2 linked regions of the Astyanax mexicanus genome follow. The protein of the gene in region 1 purifies or fractionates together with the protein of each later gene. This does not show direct contact. Links are inferred from orthologs where the notes say so. Each region holds a gene or a part of one and is shown on either strand. Other genes may lie near its edges.

The links. The genes of interacting proteins can lie anywhere in the genome.
Region 2: the proteins of retreg1 (region 1) and map1lc3a purify together in Homo sapiens (affinity purification with western blotting; 3 studies listed by BioGRID and IntAct, with this or other methods). This does not show direct contact. The link is inferred for Astyanax mexicanus from reciprocal best matches to the Homo sapiens genes RETREG1 and MAP1LC3A.

The regions. Positions count from the first base shown.
Region 1 is NC_064415.1:42,222,687-42,233,136, reverse strand, and holds the start of retreg1 (reticulophagy regulator 1), read left to right. Parts: upstream 1-5,677; 5' UTR 5,678-5,847; coding exon 5,848-6,014; intron 6,015-9,323; coding exon 9,324-9,430; intron 9,431-10,450. Other genes in the region: E3 ubiquitin-protein ligase RNF182, read right to left, coding at 418-1,170. UniProt on the Homo sapiens protein: Endoplasmic reticulum (ER)-anchored autophagy regulator which mediates ER delivery into lysosomes through sequestration into autophagosomes.
Region 2 is NC_064431.1:33,918,548-33,928,821, forward strand, and holds the start of map1lc3a (microtubule-associated proteins 1A/1B light chain 3A), read right to left. Parts: upstream 4,264-10,274; 5' UTR 4,137-4,263; coding exon 4,097-4,136; intron 888-4,096; coding exon 832-887; intron 724-831; coding exon 617-723; intron 1-616. Other genes in the region: trichohyalin-like, read left to right, coding at 7,731-7,949, 7,989-8,177, 8,217-8,312, 8,553-8,852, 8,949-9,377. UniProt on the Homo sapiens protein: Ubiquitin-like modifier involved in formation of autophagosomal vacuoles (autophagosomes). While LC3s are involved in elongation of the phagophore membrane, the GABARAP/GATE-16 subfamily is essential for a later stage in autophagosome maturation.

The DNA of each region.
Region 1 (10,450 bases):
GCTTAGGATAAATGATATTTAATGTTTTATAGTTATTGTGATATTGGTCTTTCCAATGCTGATCATGTGTCATGAGCATTCTGACCAGTTCTCAGATTCTCAGGTTTTTGATGAATCAAGGCATTAACCCGATACACCATTAGCCATGTTACATCAAGGGTCCATTAGTTCATCCCATCCAAGGCATAATCACAATTGCGATTTGGAATTTAATGCTAAAAAAACATGACAAACTTAACTTTTAATCTCAGTCATTAATTAACACACTTCTCTTTCCTTAAATAAAACAGAAAATACCAAAATTGAGTCCATAGATTTCCACAAACCTGTCGCACCACTGATGCATCCAGAATTCCTGTGGTGAGGTCACCAGTTTAGATAACAAGTTTGGGCAAATAGTCCACCTCCCATTGGTAGTCATGGCAGGACACAGTTCCAGAACTCATGGCACATGCACTGGCAAAGCCCGTACCCCATGATCACGAGCAGACTGACGGGCACCAGGCTGACCAGCAGCACGCCCGGCGTGGTCTTCTGCATGATGAGCAGGTAAACGCCTAGTGGTAGGGAGCTGAAGTAGAGAAGCCCAAGGAGCCACAGCAGGGCTCGGGCTGAGGTCTGACAAAGCAGGGCTGCGCAGTTCCACACTGTCCAGCGCCGGGTAACCGAGGCCATGGAGTCCAGACTGGATGAGTGATGATTCCTTCCAGCCCCGTTGGTACCCACCACCGGCTCCTGTGGAGGCTCCATGATGGTGATGACCACATAGTTGGAGCGTATGGACGAAGGTGAGGCTGATGCCGAGTGGCCCACTAGAGTGTTCAAGCATCTGGGGCTCAACAAGATCTCGCCCTGGTGGTTCTCCCGAAGGCTGGAATAAAAGCGGGTACGGATGGTTAATGCCGTCACAAGGTTGCAATCGTCCGGCAGACTTGCCACAGCCTCTCCAGGGAGTCCAGTAACATAGCGACAGAAAGGACAGACCACCCCATTCGGGGGTGAGTCTCCCAGATCAAGGATCTTGGTCAAACATTTGGCACACAAGCGATGGCAGCACTCAAGCACTTTAGGCCGTCGTCCAGACAGAGTGTAAGGGCAGTAGCAGATCTTGCACTCCAGTTCCTCGGCTCCAAAGCCTTCCAAAACCTCCTCTGGAAGCTGACCCATCATGCCTCTCTCCTCTCAGTGTTGTGGCAAGGGCTTGTTGTAGTAACAGACATGGTTGAGAGACTCTTGCTACACCACAGACAGGTTCCAGAGAGAGTGCCATGCAGGCTTGGGCAAACTGGAGCAGCGTCTGAGCGGCGCTGGACCCATTCGCACTGGACACTCTTTCCTGCACTCTGTGGAAGGGTGGGGAGAGGCTGCCAGAGAAAAGATAACTGTTAACACAGCACTAGAGAACAAACGCGACAGCAACAAAGCAGGCCCTGTAAAACCAGGGCTGGAATTTTCTAGCCAGACCTTTTGTTGCCAGTCAAATTCAGTCCAATTAGTGCCTCCATTCCTCTTTTCTGTGGTGCACTGTTAACACTGATAAGGGGTCTTTCTACTGTATCTTATGTGTTGTAATAATTTTTTTTATTTTAAAAGACTTAGATTAAGCATTAAAAAACACAGTTGTAGGTAATTTTATTTTTATTTTGAATAAAAAAGGTGGATCTGTAAACTTCACTGAAAACTGCTCTTAATACTCAGCCAGTTCATCAGCATTCACTGGCTGCACAGGAGAAAATGGGCTATGCTCTCTGCTTCTGTCTTCTGCTCTGATTTGTGAGGCTATTATTCATAATCTACCATGTGTGATAGTTCACAGTCCTAGTTGCAGGCAGGAAATGATTTCAAATGCACCATAAATCTTGACACCATTGAAACAAAACCTACAGAAATTGGTTTGCTGTACCTGTGTTTCATCCCTAAAGACATAAGCAGGGATTTTAGGGCCACGCATTACAATACTAATTGTATACACGCTCTAAATAAAAGATACAGTGTGTAAATTGATCATGAAGTATTACCTCATGGGATGGCTTGCTTATGACCACACCTATATAAGTTAGAGGGTGTTTTCTAGTTGTCTAGTTGCTAGATGGATGGAAAATTCCATTTTTGAAGTTGTGCCTACATTTAACATTTCTGGATCCACAGTGTCACATGTGGTTGAACCAGTAATTTGTCATAAAAGGCATTACCACCCACTGTGGACAGTGCAGTGGGTGGTAATGATTGTGTCTGGGTAGAACTGTCCATGTGAACAGAGAAGCGACTCCCAGACAGAATAGTGATTCCATCAATGATCAGAACCTTTACGGGGATGTACGCCAGAGGTGAGTGGAATGAATTTCAGTGTGGAATGACCAGCATTTCTAGAGGAATTAAGACAGATTTAACTGACTGATATAATCACCTCCGACTGACAAACAACTGGGCCAGTAATGCCTAAAACCATACCTAATGTTGGGTTCATAGAAGTAATAGAATATACACTGCCTGGTCAAAAAAGGGTCACACACTCTAATATTTGGTTGGACCACCTTTAGCTTTAGCTGAGTACAGCATGCATTCACGGTGGCATCATTTTTACAAGCTCACAGTTTATTTCTGTTCATAGTTGCATTAGTTCTGCGCCAAGATCTTCTACTGATGAAGTCTTACCAGACACATCCCAAAGATTCTCAATGTGGTTCAGGTCTGGACTTTTAGTGATTAATCCATTTGTAAAATTACGTCTCATTCTCCCTAATCCACTCTTTTACAACTGGCTACTTCCCTACTTTCTACAGACAGCAAGATCTGCAAGGTCTAGATGCTTCAAGACCTGGGCCGATGACAGGGTCTATGCCAAAGATTTTTGATTCAGATATTGTTTCTGATCAAACTGTAAAGATTTTTGCCCGTTATGTTGCATTCTTGCCTCTGGAGTCTTCTGGCAAAACTGACTGACAAGTGCTATTGTTACCAGATGGGTTCTGCTCAGAGATCTAACTTAGCTAGCTTACATCCATTTTTAATGTTCATTTGGCAGCTGTCAAGCCTTCTTCTGACTGTTTATGTTGTTGGTTTCTTCGATTGACATGTTTTGCTGGTCAGTTTCTGTCCACAGTGCTTCTTGTGGATGGATATTTTTGGATAGTGGATCACTCTCTTCAAACCAGCATTGCTGCTGTGCTGGATATCTACCAACACACCAACCACATCCATGTGAAAAAAGTGAAAAAGCCTTTTAGAAGAACTTGCATTTCACCTAATATTAGATGTGCTGTATGTATATCTATAATTCTATGTATGTAATGAAACCCCCTCCAGAATATGTTGTATATTCACTCAGACCAGAAATAGAACAGTTCAAAGAAGTTAGAAGGCCCAACAGTGACATGGCATTCTGGTCTATGATGAGAGTATGTGGGGCTAATGCTTTGTAATGTCAATCAGCTGTGGACAGGGTTACAGCTGTCAGATTAGCAACATCCACATTTCTCACTCCACTAAAGCACAGAACAACTATTAAAAAAAAAGAGAAATATATATCTAAATTAAAGTAAAGTATTATTATTATTATTATTATTATTATTATTATTATTATTATTATTATAGCAGCAGCAGTAGCAGCAGTATTGATAGTAGTGGTGGTAGAACTAGTTGCAGACATACTACTAGTGGTAGTAGTTCTAGTGGTAGTACTAGCAACAACAATAGTAGTATTAACAGTGGCAATACCAATAAAAGTAGCAGCAGCAGTAATACTAATATAAATAGAGGTGGCAGTAGTAGTAGTGACAGTAGTAGTATTAATATTAGTAATTAGTAAGTAGTATTAATAATAATAGTGGTAGTAGTAGTAGTAGTAGAATTATCAATAATAGTAGTGGTACTATTAGAAGTATTAATAGGAAAAGTAAAAGTTGTAGTAGCATTTGTAGTAGTTGTAGTGATAGTGGTAGCATTAGTTGTAATAGTAGTAGTGGTGGTAGTAGTTATATTACTAGTAGTAGTAGTAGTAGTGATAGCAGTAGTTTTAATAGTAGAAGTACTAATAGTAGTAGTAGTAGTAAGAGTAATAATATTAATAGTTGTATTGGTAGCAGTGGTATTAAAATAAATAGTAGTATTTATAGTAGTAGTTTTAATAGTAGTAGTAGTAGTAGTAGTGATAGTAGTTGTACTAGTAGTAGTAGTAGTAAGAGTAGTAATATTAATAGTAGTAATATTAATAGTATTGGTAGCAGTGGTATTAATAGAAGTAGTATTATTTATAGAAGTAGTTTTAATAGTAGTAAGAGTAGTAGTAGTAGTAATGACAGTAGTAGTACTAATAGTAGTAGTAGTAAGAGTAGTAATATTAATAGTAGTAATATTAATAGTTGTATTGGTAGCAGTGGTATTAATAGAAGTAGTATTATTTATAGTAGTAGTTTTAATAGTAGTAGTAGTAGTAGTAGTAGTAGTAGTAGTAATGATAGTAGTAGTACTAATAGTAGTAGTAGTAAGAGTAGTAATATTAAAAGTAGTAGTTTTAATAGTAGTAGTAGTAGTAGTAATGATAGTAGTAGTACTAATAGTAGCAGTAGTAAGAGTAGTAATATTAATAGTAGTCGTTTTAATAGTAGTAGTAATAGTAGTGATAGTAGTAGTACTAATAGTAGTAATAGTAAGAGTAGTAATATTAATAGTAGTAATATTAATAGTTGTATTGGGAGCAGTGGTATTAACAGAAGTAGTATTATTTATAGTTGTAGTTTTAATAGTAGTAGTAGTAGTAGTAGTAGTAGTAGTAATGATAGTAGTAGTACTAATAGTAGTAGTAGTAAGAGTAGTAATATTAATAGTAGTAGTTTTAATAGTAGTAGTAGTAGTAGTAGTGATAGTAGTAGTACTAGTAGTAGTAGTAAGAGTATTAATATTAATAGTAGTAATATTAATAGTTTTATTGGTAGCAGTGGTATTAATAGAAGTAATATTATTTATAGTAGTAGTTTTAATAGTAGTAGTAGTAGTAGTAGTAATGATAGTAGTAGTACTAATAGTAGTAGTAGTAAGAGTAGTAATATTAATAGTAGTAGTTTTAATAGTAGTAGTAGTAGTAGTAGTAGTGATAGTAGTAGTATTAATAGTAGTAGTAGTAAGAGTAGGAATATTAATAGTAGTAATATTAATAGTTGTATTGGTAGCAGTGGTATTAATATAAGTAGTAGTGTTTATACTAGTAGATGGTAGCAGTAGTGATAGTAGTAGTAGTATTAATATTAGTAGTCATAGAAGTAGTAGTAGTGAAAAAATAATTGTAGAATTTGTAGAAGTAGTTCCAGCAGTAGGATTAGTAGCATTAGCATTAGTACTATTAGTAAGTTCAAAATAATATAATAATATAAACACATGAATGCAATGGTATTGATATTATAGCTTAACACACTATAACATGTACTATGATTTTATTGTTGCTATTATTATCATTAACACTAATGATATTTCTCACTTTTTTCTCACTTTAATTTAATTACCAGAATAATGATCAGAAATGATAAACATGCAATACACATATTTATTATTTAGATTTATATGTCACGTGTTCTATTATTAATAAATCCAGCATTTTTAAATCTTTCTTTGAAGTCTTATTATAATAATGACGTGAGCGTTCCCATGGACCCTCGGCGGGTTGTCTCGGGATGACGTCGCCGTTCACAACAACAACAACACCAACATCACCAGCGGAGCAGCAGCAGCAGCAGCAGCGCCTCCTCCTCCTCCTCCTCCTCCTCCTCCTCCAGCAGCAGCGGCAGCAGCAGCAGCAGAGCCACCACCGGCCGGCGCTGTGGAGAGGGCGAGGCGGAGCGCGGAGCTTTCGCCATGGCAGGAGCGGCGCAGCCGGTGCAGGAGAGCGGGAGCCCGGGCGCAGCGCTGGCGGCTGCAGGGAGCGGGCAGCGGGCTGGAGGATGCCGCGTGCAGGAGCTGGTGGACTGGGGGAGACCCTTCAGGACCAGCGCGCTGTTCGCGGCCACCAACGCGCTGTTCTGGTGAGAGACATGACGCAGCGTTTTCATTTCACTTTTAATCTTGGTTTAATAGAGTGTAGACATGGACCACAGCCTGCAGAGACTCTCCACACACTGGAGTAGTGTTCTAGGTTAATTAACTAAGATAGATAATTAACTAGTTTGTGTAGTTTGTGTGTTAGTCAGAGTTATTTCAGTGTATTTAAGCTTAAAGCAGGTTTTCCCAGTAGCTTAGGATAAATAACTCAAAACAAACACAAATCTGCATCATATAATCATCATTCACTTCTCCTCCCATTTAAAAATTCTTGACATTTGAGTGAAATGATCTGGCCAGGCCAGAAATCCTGCTTGGTGAAATACCTCCCAGGTCATGCAGGCCTGTGTGTGTGTGTTTTTGTATTTGTGTGTGTTGATGTTTAAGGTGTTTAAGGAGCAGGCCTGTCTGCCTGCACTTCATTACTTTCCCTAGGTCATGTTTGCTTTTCATCACACCTGCTGTTACTTAAGGCTCGAACACCACCTGATGAGATTAGATAGGACATTTATAGCCCGCTGTTTTAGCAAGCTAGCAGAGCTGTGATAAAGCTACCCTCTGTTTGCTATCTCTACCTGTACATCCATACAATCTAGTATATACTATATACTGTATGATACATGCATGTTTTTCCCTCTCTCGCTTTTGTTTTCCAAGTAGGCACGACTTTGCAAAACACTGGATGTAGGTTAAGAAACTAAGTGTTCCCCCATTGGAATTATATAAATACCCTGCCCATGTTATTCCTTCTTGTAAGTAAGCTGTGTCCTGGATTTAAAATGCTGGAGATTATGCACCCACACCTCCTGCCGGGAGCCAACACTGCTAGGCGGGAGCAGCCAGGTGCACATGACGCATATCCTGCTTCTCCTACCAGCAACCTTCAAGAGGTTTATAGGTATACGACAGCTTGAAGTTGAACAGGGCATTGTGGAAAGAGGCAGCGCTGTGCTTCCCACTACGTTTAGGTTTACAGTACACATAGGAATCTGCTTTTCCATGTTAAGTTTAATGGAAAATACCAGAGATGTATAGAAACGAAGTTGAAGTACTTCATTACTGTAATTAAGTACTAAAATGCTGTATCTATATCTACTGGAGTAGTATTTTTTTCTCCTTATCGTTGATTTAAATATTTTTACTCTGATAAATTGTTTATGTGCTGCATCCTTACTTGTTATAATTGTAAAACTGGTACAAATCATTCCAAACCCACATTATCACTACCAGAGTAGTAGATGCTTTGCACTGTCACCAGGTTTGATGAAGCTCTTCATACTTTTTTTTGTTTATTTATTTTCTTTCCTTATTTACTCTCGATGTAGCTAGGCCAATTGTCCAACCCATTCAGCTGTTGCTCATCTGTTACTCAGCTGCTACTCAGCTCTACATCCCCCATCACAGGTGATGTCATAACACAAGGAGTGTGAAGACCAGCACATGCCTCCTCTGACATATGTGAAGTCAGCTATCGCCTCTTTTTGAGCTGCTGCTGATGCAGCATTGCCAAATAGCATCACAGCACGCTCTGAGGAAAGAGCAGCATCTCATTTCCGATACATCAGCTCACAGATGCCTTGTGCTGATCAACATCACCCTACGACTTATAAGGGGAAAGAGCGCTGTTTATCCACCCAGAGACAGCAAGGCAGACAGCACTGTGCTCTCTCAGGGCTTCGGCAGCTGATGGCTAGCTGCATGACCAGGATTCCAACCGGCGATGCCCCGATCATATTGGCAGTGCTTTAGACCACTCAGAGACAAAATTCTTCATCATTGAGTGAATCAAGCAATCAAGCTGATCTTATAGGGAAACCCTGCTGCTCACCTTCTTTCTTTTGCGCAGCACACACAATACTTAACACACAGTACTTTTACTTTTAGTACTTGAGAAGTACATTTTATAATACACTTCTTCATACAATACAGCAGTACCAAAAATGTTAAATACTTCCACTGTGTGGTACTTTAACTCAAGTCTGGATCTCTAACCAGTTTAAACTACTCTAACATTTGAACCATTTATACACTGGGACGTCAAAAGATAAAAGTCATGGGATAGCAGTGTGTGTGAAATTGAATTTGAAATGTAACCTTAGGGCATGGCTTGGAAACACTCATATAATAATAATAAGAAGAAGAATAAATAATTAATTCCTTATAAGTCTCACAGTGGGAAAGTTTTAACCTCTGCATTTTAACCCATCCATGCATCCAATTATTGGAGTTCGAGCTAGGCCTAATAATGGGTGCCAGATACAAGGCATTACCACCCACAGTGGACACTGAACATCTATACTCAGTGTGTGGTAATGATCATGATCATGGTGGCATCTGACTATAATTGCCCATTTAAAAAGACAAGCCACTCTGGCAGAAATCACATCCATGTTCAGTGCAGAAGGCTCCACAAGCATATTCCACCGACCAGTGCATCATCCTTTATCTTCCATTGGACATAATACGTATTCCTGTTCCATGACTTTTGGAATGTAATTACAGTTTAGATTAGATCCAGACCACCAGACCATCAGTAACTGATCTCATAACATCAGTCATCACTTAATGCAGTCAAATACTTACTGCAAGTGGAAAGGCTTTCTCAATAAGTATAGGTTGTAACTGCAAGAAAGGGAAGAGGATAAGGTAAAAAAATAAAAGGCTCACCATACGCTTTATGGAAGTCCAATTCTAAAATGTTGAGGGGTTTACATATTTACATGAATATTTCCCAATTTCTCTCTATCCTTTGAAACTAAACAGTTTGTGCGTTTAGGACAGATATAGATATCTGGGGAAAAAATAAGAGACCAATTAAAAATGAGTTTCTTTGATTTTACCAAATTAAAAACCTCTGTAATATAATCAAGAGGAAGATGGATGATCACAAGCCATCAAACCAAGCTGAACTGCTTGCATTGTGTAAGACTGGTGGAGGAGAATATGCCAAGATGCATGAAACTGTGATTAAAACCAGGGTTATTCCACCAGATATTGATTTCTGAACTCTTAAACCTTTATGAATATGAACTGGTTTTCATTGCATTATTTAGGTCTGAAAGCTCTGCATCTTTTTTGTTTATTTTACTCAAACATATACCTATAAATAGCAAAATCCAAAAAAACTGATTCAGAAACTTAAGTGGTCTCTTAATTTTTCAGGGCTGTATGTAGGAGAGCTTTGCTCTGATTGACTGCACTGTAGAATGGCTTAGAAGTCCAGAAAGAAACCCTTTATTGATAAAAAAAGGTATGACATCATATTTATATCTTTATTTTTCTCTCATATCCAGGTTTGTGTCCCTGAGTCCCTGTAGGGTGGTCTGTCTTCTCTGCCTGTGTCTGGCTCTCCTGATGATGGTACAGCTCCTGAGGGATATGATGCTTTCCAGGTCAAGAGGTGTGGATCCAATACAGCCTCCCACTTCATCAACACCAAAGACCATTTAATGCCCCTTTATTAAATTGGACACCTAAATGTTATTGAATCACATGGATTTATAAAGTTTTATGTAAAGCCATAGTGAACAGTTATCAGCATAATGCCAAAAAGCATATTTACTAAAGGGTTAATAGCGTATAATCCCCATAGTGGACAGCACACACACTCTGGCAGAAATCACATTTAATGTAGGAAACCCTACATGCATATGCTAGCATTCTGTAGCTTACATGGGATGTGATACAAAATGCAATCTGGGCTAAAACGCACCTTAACGCAATTTAGCTAATCTGCTCTAGGCTGCCCATTCTGTATTTCATCAATGATGAACAGCTGTGATAATCAGTATCAGTAATAGTAGTGCATGGTTTAGTGCAAAAGTGTACAAAAAAAACATACAATAGAACAACCACTTTTGGTACCATAAGAACCACGGTTGTCACATTGATCAGACACACGACAGACTATCACAGATACCAAACACACAGTTTATTAAAAAAGTAGCTAGGCTTACAGGAGAAGTAAGGGACAGGCAGGGTCAGTTACCATAAGGCAGCAAATATAAAAAAAACATTCCATAGCGTAGTCATGTACAAAACGGGGTCAAACATGGTCAATCCAGCAAAGAAAGGGCAAAAATCGAGAGTCAGAAACAAAAACAAGTTAATAACAGAAAGCAATAAACAAAGAAAATTATTTGTAGAAGAGATAGATAACTAGATTCAATAATCGGCAGGTAACAGAGCAAACTGAGGGGTATTTATACTAGACAGGCCAGGTGAAAACAATCAGTAACTGGGGGAGCGGGATCGTAATAGCATTATGTGATCAGCAGAGTCAGAGAAATCCAGGGTGAGTGCATGCTGGGAAGTAGAGTCTTTGTTAAGTAGTTTAGAATACAGAGCAGGCATTTATTAAAATATGAGTTCTTTATAAAATCAACGGTGGTTCCTCAATGGCATTGCAAATCAAGGTTCA
Region 2 (10,274 bases), on another chromosome or scaffold:
TGAGACTGCTGCAAACAGACACACAAACACTTCACTTTACATCAGCTAGTGTACTTTACTGCAGGATATTTATCCCCAATTTACACAGCTGATAGCAAGCTGCATGACCTGGATTCAAACCAGTCATCTCATGATCATAGTGGAAGCCTGAGTAATAGCTTAAACCAAAATCAGAGTGTCTCTTGTTCATCATTCTCTTTAAGAGTAGAACCAGGTGAGCTCTGTCTTTGGTGGATTGCTATTGTAACGGTGCAGCTACCTGGACGTGTTTAACAAACTCTTCTCAGCAGAGGAAACTGAGCTGCTGGTTGACGCTGTGAAGGAGCTCCAGCAGCTCATTTACGGGAACAGCAATGTTATTTCATTTACTATTCTGTTTATTGTTGATGTAAAAGTTGGGTTTGTGCTGCTGTGTGTTCATGTGTGTGTAATAAGTGGGGGCGTACACTCGGCTCGGCACAGCGCCTGTGTTACCGAGATAGCGATGAACGTCTGACTGTTGCCATCTGTCTAGGTTGTATTCAGTCAGTGGAGCTCCTGTGTTTTCTGTTACCAATATAAACAAGCAAAACCCCAGAAACGTACCTGAACACACCTCAACAAACTGAACTCTCACCTGATAATCTTCACCAGTTCGCTCATGTTGACGTGATCAGGTACAAGAAACTTGGTCTTGTCCAAAACGGGAAGCTGCTTTTCTCCCTTATATCTCTCAATGATGACCTACAGGCAAAAACACAGTTCCAGCTGTATTTAATAAACATTATCATATTATTCAAGGTTAATTCATTAACTTTTAAATGTATTTCTAAAATTCCTAACAGTTCTTACCGGAATTTTATTAGGATGCTGCTCTCGTATCTGCTGCACCTCCTTACAGCGATCAGCTGAGAATAAAAATAAAATAGCTTAAAAATCAAGAGAAAACAATTCATCAAATGATTTACACAGAATCTCTAGACATCGAAAAAGACCTTAAAAACCAGTACAATGATGAAACTGGCACTCATCAGGACCGCCCCAGGAAAGGAAGAGTTGTACAGGATAGGTTTATCAGATAAGAGCACCTTAATGCTTCACAGAGTATTTTAGTTTGTTTAACACTGTTTTTAAGTTACAACATGATTCCTTAAGTGTTCCTTCATAGTCTGATAGATCACTTCACTATTAAATTTCTCTTATCGAATAGTACATAGTTTATTACACTATATGAACTCTTTTTCTTTTCAATATCTTAGATTTTGGAAGAAATAATGAATGAGCAGGCAACCACTTAAGAGACTATTTAAAATCATATCGTCACAATCAGCACGAGGTACAACATGGGGGGAAGGGTTACACCCGTTCACCCTGTGCTGAAGCTGTAATTTGATCTTGTGTTGATGTTTATTGCTTAACAGGCACAGCAAACCATAATAATCCTAACATTTGCACTTCCATAAATGCTTATAATTATGACAATAAACAAAAACATCCTCGTGGTACCGAATTTTATCAATTTAAATGCTGTTTTTGAGTTGGTTAGTTCAGTGTCTGGGGTCATTTTGAGTAGCTCAGTTTGTTAGTTTAACTAAAACACAGAAACAGCTCAGATAACTAACAGCAATATTTACAATTAACAGCACCTGGAAAAGCTATGTAGAATATAGTGCACTACATGGGTCACTGAAATTTGTTTTCTTCTCCATATATAGTGCACTCCATAGGTCATAAAACAGAGATTTAGGAATACAGGGCATAAAATAGACAAATTTACTCATTGTAGAGCTATAAGATGTGAATTTTGTGGGATTTTCTCTCTCTATAGTGCTCAACATAGGACATTAAATAAAGGGACTACTTCTTAATGTAAAGAAATATATATATGGCATGAAATAGAGGTGTTTACTCTGTATATAGTGCCCCACATTTGGGCATGAAATGGAGGTATTTACTCTAAATGTAAAGACATATAAATAGAGGTGTTTACTTTGTATATAGTGCCCTACATAGGGCATAAAACAGAGGTATTTACTCTTAATGTTGAGCACTATTTAGGACATACAATTTAAATATGTACTCAATATATAGCGCTCAACATAGGACATGAAATAGAGGAATTTACTCCTAATGTAAAGAAATATATAAGGCATGAGAAGTTTATTCTGTATATAGTGTTCTATATTGAGCAAGAAATAGAGAGATTAATTCATAACGTAAAGAAATATATAGGGATAAATTAGAGGTATTTATTCTGTTTAAAGAGCTCTACATTGGCCTTAAAATAGAAGTATTTACTCTAAATGTAGAGCCCTATTTAGGGTTAGGATTAATTATTAATGTAAAGAAATATACAAGGCATGAAATAGAGGGGTTTACTCTCTATATAGTGCTCTAAAAAGTAATGAAATCATTTAAATAGACTTTTTAGGATTAAGTTTAAGCACCTAACCTAACATAGGTTATATTTTTATCTAGCTAACCTACTTAGTGCACTGGGTCCCCCTTAAGAAATCAGGTATTTAGGATCAATTTAGTTCGCTAAAAGCTTAAATAATAATTTATCATGTAGTTAACTAATTAAGTTATCCTAAAACACACATATAAAGGTTAGTTCTAATATAGCTTTAACCTACAGCTCAATAAAAACAGTAAAGTGCCGTTTTGGGCAAGTTAATGCTAAGCTAATGCTAAGCTAACGCTATAGCTACGTGTTGAGGTAAAGTAAATAAGGGCCTCAGCGGATTCATCGCGTAAAATGCACGATACTGAAGACCAGATACTAAAAATAAAGACATTTATGAGACTAAATTAAGTCAGACAACACGTTTGTTCACTTTAAGTTAGCTAAAACAGCAAAACTTGGCTTATCTTGCTAGCTAGGTTAGCTAGTTTGTCAGGTTAAAAGCTAACGTTAGCTTGGCTAAGCTAAAAGGCCTCTAGCCACCAGGTTTTAATAACTTTAATAACTTCTATTTTTATGCTACAGTGGACAATATAACTCTATAATACGCACATTTTCGTCTCCTCTGTGTACTGGGGATAGCTTAATGTCTTTCTAGATTTTTTAACCATACTGTTATAACGCTATCTCCCTTAGTATTGATAAATTATCGGTATGTTTGCACATACAGCTCTGTAAAAATCGCTATTTATTGGTTTATGTTTGAGTAAAATGAACATTGTTGTTTTATTCTATAAACTACAGACAACATTTCTCCCAAATTCCTAAATAAATTACATTTATTTCCCTGCAATGTGCTTTAACGTGACCCATAATAAGGAGAATTATGGCTGGCCAAAATATACATAGAGTTTTTCTTCTGCAAATACAGCTCTAAAAAAAAAAAAAAAAAACAAGAGACCACTTAAAAAATTATGAGTTTCTTTGATTTTACCAAATTAACCTCTGGAATATAATCAAGAGAAAGATGGATGATCACAAGCCATCAAACCACCAAACTGAACTGCTTGAATATTTTTTTGCACCAGGAGTAAAGCAGTATAAAGTTATCCAAAAGCAGTGTGTAAGACTGGTGGAGGAGGAGAACATGATTCCAAGATGCATGAAATTAAAACTGTGAATTAAGCTTTATGAATATGAACTAGTTTTCTTTGCATTATTTGTACTGCCATTTCCCTTTTTTTGCAATACATAATAAATGTTATAAATGACAATAATGATAATAATGTTGTCTGTAGTTTATAGAATAAAACAACAATGTTCATTTTACTCAAACATAAAGCTATAAATAGCAAAATCAGAGAAACTGATTCAGAAACTGAAGTGCTCTCTTCATTGCTTCCAGAGCTGTAACGTTATATTATATAATAGGACATGAGCTAAACTAAACCGTAGAGACTCTATTTTAGATAAAACAAGTAAGTACTAAAAGTAGATATAAACACACCGGCTGAAACTTGAGACGTTAATAGGCTAGCCATGTATATTATTTAGTAACGTTAGTTACAACATTATAACTATCATTGGCTTTATGTTTATTAACGTAACGGTTAAATCTCTCACTGTTCAGATTATCAGACTAACCAAAACAACACAGTCTGATAAACATTAAAACACATTAAACAGCTTCTACCCGCTTATATATAAACTCACCGAAGCTCCGCCGCTGTTTGAAAGGTCTATCAGAAGGCATAATTGTAGTTTAAGATGAATAAAATAACAATAATAATCTGTAGTTTTATTCCTCTCTGTTTTTATTATTGTTCTGATCCTCGTCAGCAACTCCGAGCCAGAGGCGATAAAGACATGCGCAGAACGCCACGGAGTTTTAAAGGGAACAGCGCCAAAGAGCCTGAACAGCCGAGAACTCCCACTCCAGAATGGGTTCGGATTGATGGATGGATGGATGGATAGATACGTTCACATTACCAGTTTGAAGTGACTCCAATCAAATTTTTTTCATGGCTGTGTGAACGTGCCAAATCTAGATTTATGCCAATCAGATCTGAGCTTTAAAAATTGGCTTGGAAAAGCAAGGGGGAGAGGCAGCAGATAGATTTACTTTTGCAGTTTTTTAGCTGTTTATAAACTTCTTTTTTTTTTACGTTATTAGCATGCTTTTTCAAGCCGAGACTTAACACTTATTCATTAACAAAATTTCACCCCTTTTTAAGAGAGCGGTAAGCAGAGAGGCATCAGACATTTCCCAATTGAAATCCATTCAAAAGTGTCTGTAAACTTTTGTCAGAAATGTAAACTACTCTAAAAGAAACAGTTATTTTTAGCTAGAAACGTGATAATCTGTATACTTGTTGTACTGTAAGCTTCAGTGTTAGTTCTAGCCGAAAACTCCTGTGCTAGTCACTCGTATCTTAATCAATCACCAGCTTCTGCCTTCCTGGTAGAACTTGCACTTTTCCAAGCAAGCTTGTAAAAGTCTGTTCACATACTTTCTCTCCTAGTTCTAATTTGAGTATTTAGCCGTTTAGCTCCTTTTACCCTCATTCATTAAAGACTCCCTCACGTGCTTCCTCTAGCGTTTTTTTAGTAGATGCTTTCTGCTATAAAGGAGATGACCGGAAGTAGCCAGTCTCTGCATGAACCAGCTGTGGCAGCACAGTCCTGCTTTTTTTTTTCAGGAGGATACAAAATAAAAGCAGCCGTGTCAAAAATATGAAACTGCCCAATAAAATATATATATATATAAAAATACAAATAAACGTAAATGTAAAATAAAAATCTAATAAAACTACATTTGTATACAATATTGTATTTTTACAATATGCAATAGTGTATATGTGTTAAATACCAACACCATCACAGATTTTTTTAAATCTGGTAAAAGTCCTGTTAAATGTTCTGGTACATGTAAGTTCTGTGTTATTCCCACATAAACATAGCACATAAAGTTATAAATTTCATGTTTTGGTAGATTATTTATTTGTTGCTTCCTGGTAATACATCTTACACTGTTGGAAGTCAGTTAATTACTCTTTTAAATGGACCCTGTGCAATCCATCTTAATGAGTTTCAGTTACATTGGCCACAATTGTCCTTCTTCCTTCAGCCGCAAGACACAATTCATACAGGCTTTACTGCATTTTACATCCTATTAAACTAATGGGTAATGCACGTTAGCCGTGTTAATCCACTTTACTTGTAAATTAACGATAACTCCAGCATGAACAAGTAACGGATTAGAAAACACAATTTGTTTATCCAAAATTTTAGAAACGCTAGTAAATAATCAGCTCAAGATTTTTTTTTGTGAACAATATTTTTTATTTTTAACTTTCATCGTCAAATTATACATCATTCATCTCATTTTTTATACTATATACAAAGCCAGGGACTGCCAGGGAAAGCACACATCAAAACTAATAGGTTATACGTCAGTACATATTAGTATATAGATATACATTACACTGAACTCCATATGAAGAGGGGGGACAGGAAAAACCTATATATACATATATACATATTTAAAAAAAAAAGAAAATAATAATAGTAATAGTAATAATAATGATGATAATCCAGAAAATAACCTACAAAGGCCACACATCAACTGCTTCCATTACCCATCACAGACCTATACATTTCTACAGTCCGTCTCCAGAGCTTACATTAAATCAGTATTACATACAGTAGTCCAATGTAGGGGTGGGCGGTATGGCTCTAAAATAATATCACGATATTTCAGGGTATTTTTGGGATAACGATATAATTGGCGATATAGGAAAACAAAAAAATAATTAATTAATTTCAGGAATATAGTATAAGAGTATAACAGTATAATCATAATGTGGCAAAATAAATAATATAGCATAAAATAATATAATGCAGCAAATAATATTGCAGAATATTTAGTGCATGCATATAAACTGCAAACTAAAACAATTATACAATAAATACACCTAAAGCTTCACAGTGAATAATAGACTACTTTTAAGACAGAACAGCCCTATTATCACAATATGGATTTTTAATATCATGATATTATGATATTAGCCTCTAATTTTTCTTGACTTGGCTTTATTAATCCTTGCTGTTGAGCGCTCCAATAAGATAATGTGTTTATATTCTGCAAGCCAGATCCTGTTAAGAGAGGTAGTTGACTCAAACCAAACTCTAAGGATGTTTTTTTAGCAGCTGTTAAGGTCGTATACAAAATTTAGATTTACAGTAAGATCCAGAGAGTAGCCATCATTTAACAGACATAAACCAGGTTGGTTTACAATCATTTTGTCACTTAAAATTGACACCACTTCTAAAACAAAGTCCCAGAATTTTGAAACTGGCTCACATTCAAAGAACATATGCATAAAGGTACCAATGACATTCGCCTCACACTTCTGACAGTTTTTTGATTGTGGCAAAAACTTTATCAATAAACAGGTCTTTAATTGAGAGTATACATTTTTGTACCAGGAGTGAAACACTGAATCTGAAAGTGAAGGTATAAACAATACAGTGAAATTTGCCCAAACTTGCAGGAGTCATAGCCTAGGACAGACTCTTTCAAATGGTAGTGGACCTGTTTTGGCATTATGGGAAAATCATGAGAAATTGAATTTTAAGCATGAATAAAAAACAATAATATAAAATAAACAAAACAGTAAAATTTGCCCAATTTATTTTGAAGCATGGATTGAAAAAAGTAATGTTAATATAAAACTCTCTCTCTCTCTCTCTCTCTCTCTTAAACACTGATGGGATTGTTATGGTATTCTATCAAATAGATAATGTACTGCACAGAATCTACAGTGAGGTGAGTTATTTTAATCCGTTTTCTTCTCGTTTCTGGGCTTAATGTATGTCTGAATTAATATAACCGACTGAAACGTGTCGGTCTCCTCTTCTCTGTGTTTTTTTAGCGCGCTCTCCGCCTGCGCGTCTGTTTACCGTAAAATCGCGCGAATACGCGCATCTAAATTTAAAGCGCGGATGACTTGACTGGGAATTTCCGAAGCGCGGATAGCTGGACTCCGGTGCTCCTTGCTGCCTACTCCATTAGGGCGAAGGCGGAATCTTCTGTTTGTTGTTGTTATGCGCGCGCATGTATCCTAGCAGGGAGTCCTGCCCCGTATCCTAGCAACGCTGACAGCAACTCTGATTGGTCCAGAGAACTGTTTCGCGGACAGTGAATAGAATCGCGAATAAGGGCGCGTGACGTCATCGCGCGAGGGCATGATGTCATAACCCAAAAGGTATAAATAGACCCGAGCGTGAGGTGACACCACTACGGTTCTATACACACTGAGCTTAGTGCAGATCCTTTACTGTCACAATGGGTTTTAAACGCTGGTTGAAAAAACTCGTCCCGAAGATAAAGTTCCGCAGGAAGAAGAAGGAAGAGGAATTACCGCTTATAGAGGCGGAGGAGGAGGAGAGGATGCAAATGCTGAAGACGCAGATTTTGCCGTGGATAGAGGTGCTGCAGCAGATAGAGGAGGAGAGGCAGATAGAGGAGGAGAGGCAGATAGAGGAGGAGAGGCCGTGGATAGAGGTGCAGCAGCAGATAGAGGAGGAGAGGCCGTGGATAGAGGTGCAGCAGCAGATAGAGGAGGAGAGGCAGATAGAGGAGGAGAGGCCGTGGATAGAGGTGCTGAAGCAGTTAGAGGAGGAGAGGCCGTGGATAGAGGTGCCGCAGCAGATAGAGGAGGAGAGGCAGATAGAGGAGGAGAGGCAGATAGAGGAGGAGAGGCAGATAGAGGAGGAGAGGCCGTGGATAGAGGTGCAGCAGCAGATAGAGGAGGAGAGGCCGTGGATAGAGGTGCAGCAGCAGATAGAGGAGGAGAGGCAGATAGAGGAGGAGAGGCCGTGGATAGAGGTGCTGAAGCAGTTAGAGGAGGAGAGGCCGTGGATAGAGGTGCCGCAGCAGATAGAGGAGGAGAGGCAGATAGAGGAGGAGAGGCAGATAGAGGAGGAGAGGCAGATAGAGGAGGAGAGGCAGATAGAGGAGGAGAGGCCGTGGATAGAGGTGCCGCAGCAGATAGAGGAGGAGAGGCAGATAGAGGAGGAGAGGCAGATAGAGGAGGAGAGGCAGATAGAGGAGGAGAGGCAGATAGAGGAGGAGAGGCAGATAGAGGAGGAGAGGCCGTGGATAGAGGTGCCGCAGCAGATAGAGGAGGAGAGGCCGTGGATAGAGGTGCCGCAGCAGATACAGGAGGAGAGGCAGATAGAGGAGGAGAAGCAGATAGAGGAGGAGAGGCAGATAGAGGAGGAGAGGCAGTGGATAGAGGAGTACGTTGCTCCTGGCCCTGTACCGTTAATATACCCATGGATGCTCATAGCGAAGGATCAGCAGGAGCTAGAGAAGGAGAGGCAGCTAGATAAGGAGAGGCAGCTAGAGGAGGAGAGGCAGATAGAGGAGGAGAGGCAGATAGAGGAGGAGAGGCCGTGGATAGAGGTGCCGCAGCAGATAGAGGAGGAGAGGCCGTGGATAGAGGTGCCGCAGCAGATACAGGAGGAGAGGCAGATAGAGGAGGAGAAGCAGTGGATAGAGGAGTACGTTGCTCCTGGCCCTGTACCGTTAATATACCCATGGATGCTCATAGCGAAGGATCTGCAGGAGCTAGAGAAGGAGAGGCAGCTAGATAAGGAGAGGCAGCTAGAGGAGGAGAGGCAGCTAGAGAAGGAGAGGCCATGGATAGAGGTGCCGCAGCAGATAGAGGAGGAGAGGCAAGAAGAAAAGGAGAGGCGGCAGATAGAGGAGGAAAGGAGGCAGATAGAGGAGGAGAGGCGGCAGATAGAGGAGGAAAGGAGGCAGATAGAGGAGGAGAGGCGGCAGATAGAGGAGGAAAGGAGGCAGATAGAGGAGGAAAGGCGGCAGATAGAGTATAAAATTCCTCCACCTACAGCGCCCTTTCTCCCTGTACCCTTCCTCCCTGTACCCTTTCTCCCTGTACCCTTCCTCCCTGTACCCTTCTTCTAGCCGTGGCCTCTAATAGAGGTGGAGAGGCAGCAGATGGAGGAGTATAAGAGTCATCAATCTACAGCGCCCCCTGGTGCATCAGAAGGAGGGGTCATAAAGCAGGGAATGAAGTCTCTGGCCAACAGGTTGAGCTCATTCATAGCTTCATGTTTTGGTATTTAAACTCCTCTCCAAACTCATCTGATCCATCTGTATCTACATGTTGAGCTCGTTCATAGCTCCATGTGTTAATAAACTCCTCTCCAACACGTAACGGAGGAGATAATATAAATCAATTTATAAAATATAAAAATAAATAAGTCAATAAATAAACTCATCTGATCCATCTGTATCTACATGTTGAGCTCGTTCATAGCTCCATGTGTGGGTTAATACACTCTTGTTGGATTATTGGGATATTTTTTCAAGAATTTCATCTCGGGGATCAATAAAGTATCTATCCATCCATCCATCCATCCATCCATCTATCAAATGAAATTTTAATAAAAGGTATTTGCTCAGTGTGAGCAGATGCCCTGAAAAATACATACTGAGTTTTGAGTATATTTCCACTTTTAGCTATTTATGTTAGACCAGATAGACTTTAATATTATAATACAACATTAAATCCAATTACCTAATATCAGCGTCCACCAGTCAAAGAAACATGCATTAAAATATCTAAATCTGCAATAAATTGGGTAGAAATATTGAATAAAGTAATTTTATTTCATTTTAATTAAGGCAGTTAATTATCATTAGAGCTTAGATTTTGATAGAGGGTTTATGGGTCGAGTTGGGCTCCTGCACGGACACGGGTAGGACCGGGTCGGATTTTTTGGGAGCAGAGACTATTAAGTACTATATACATACATACATACATATATATATATATATATATATATATATATATATATA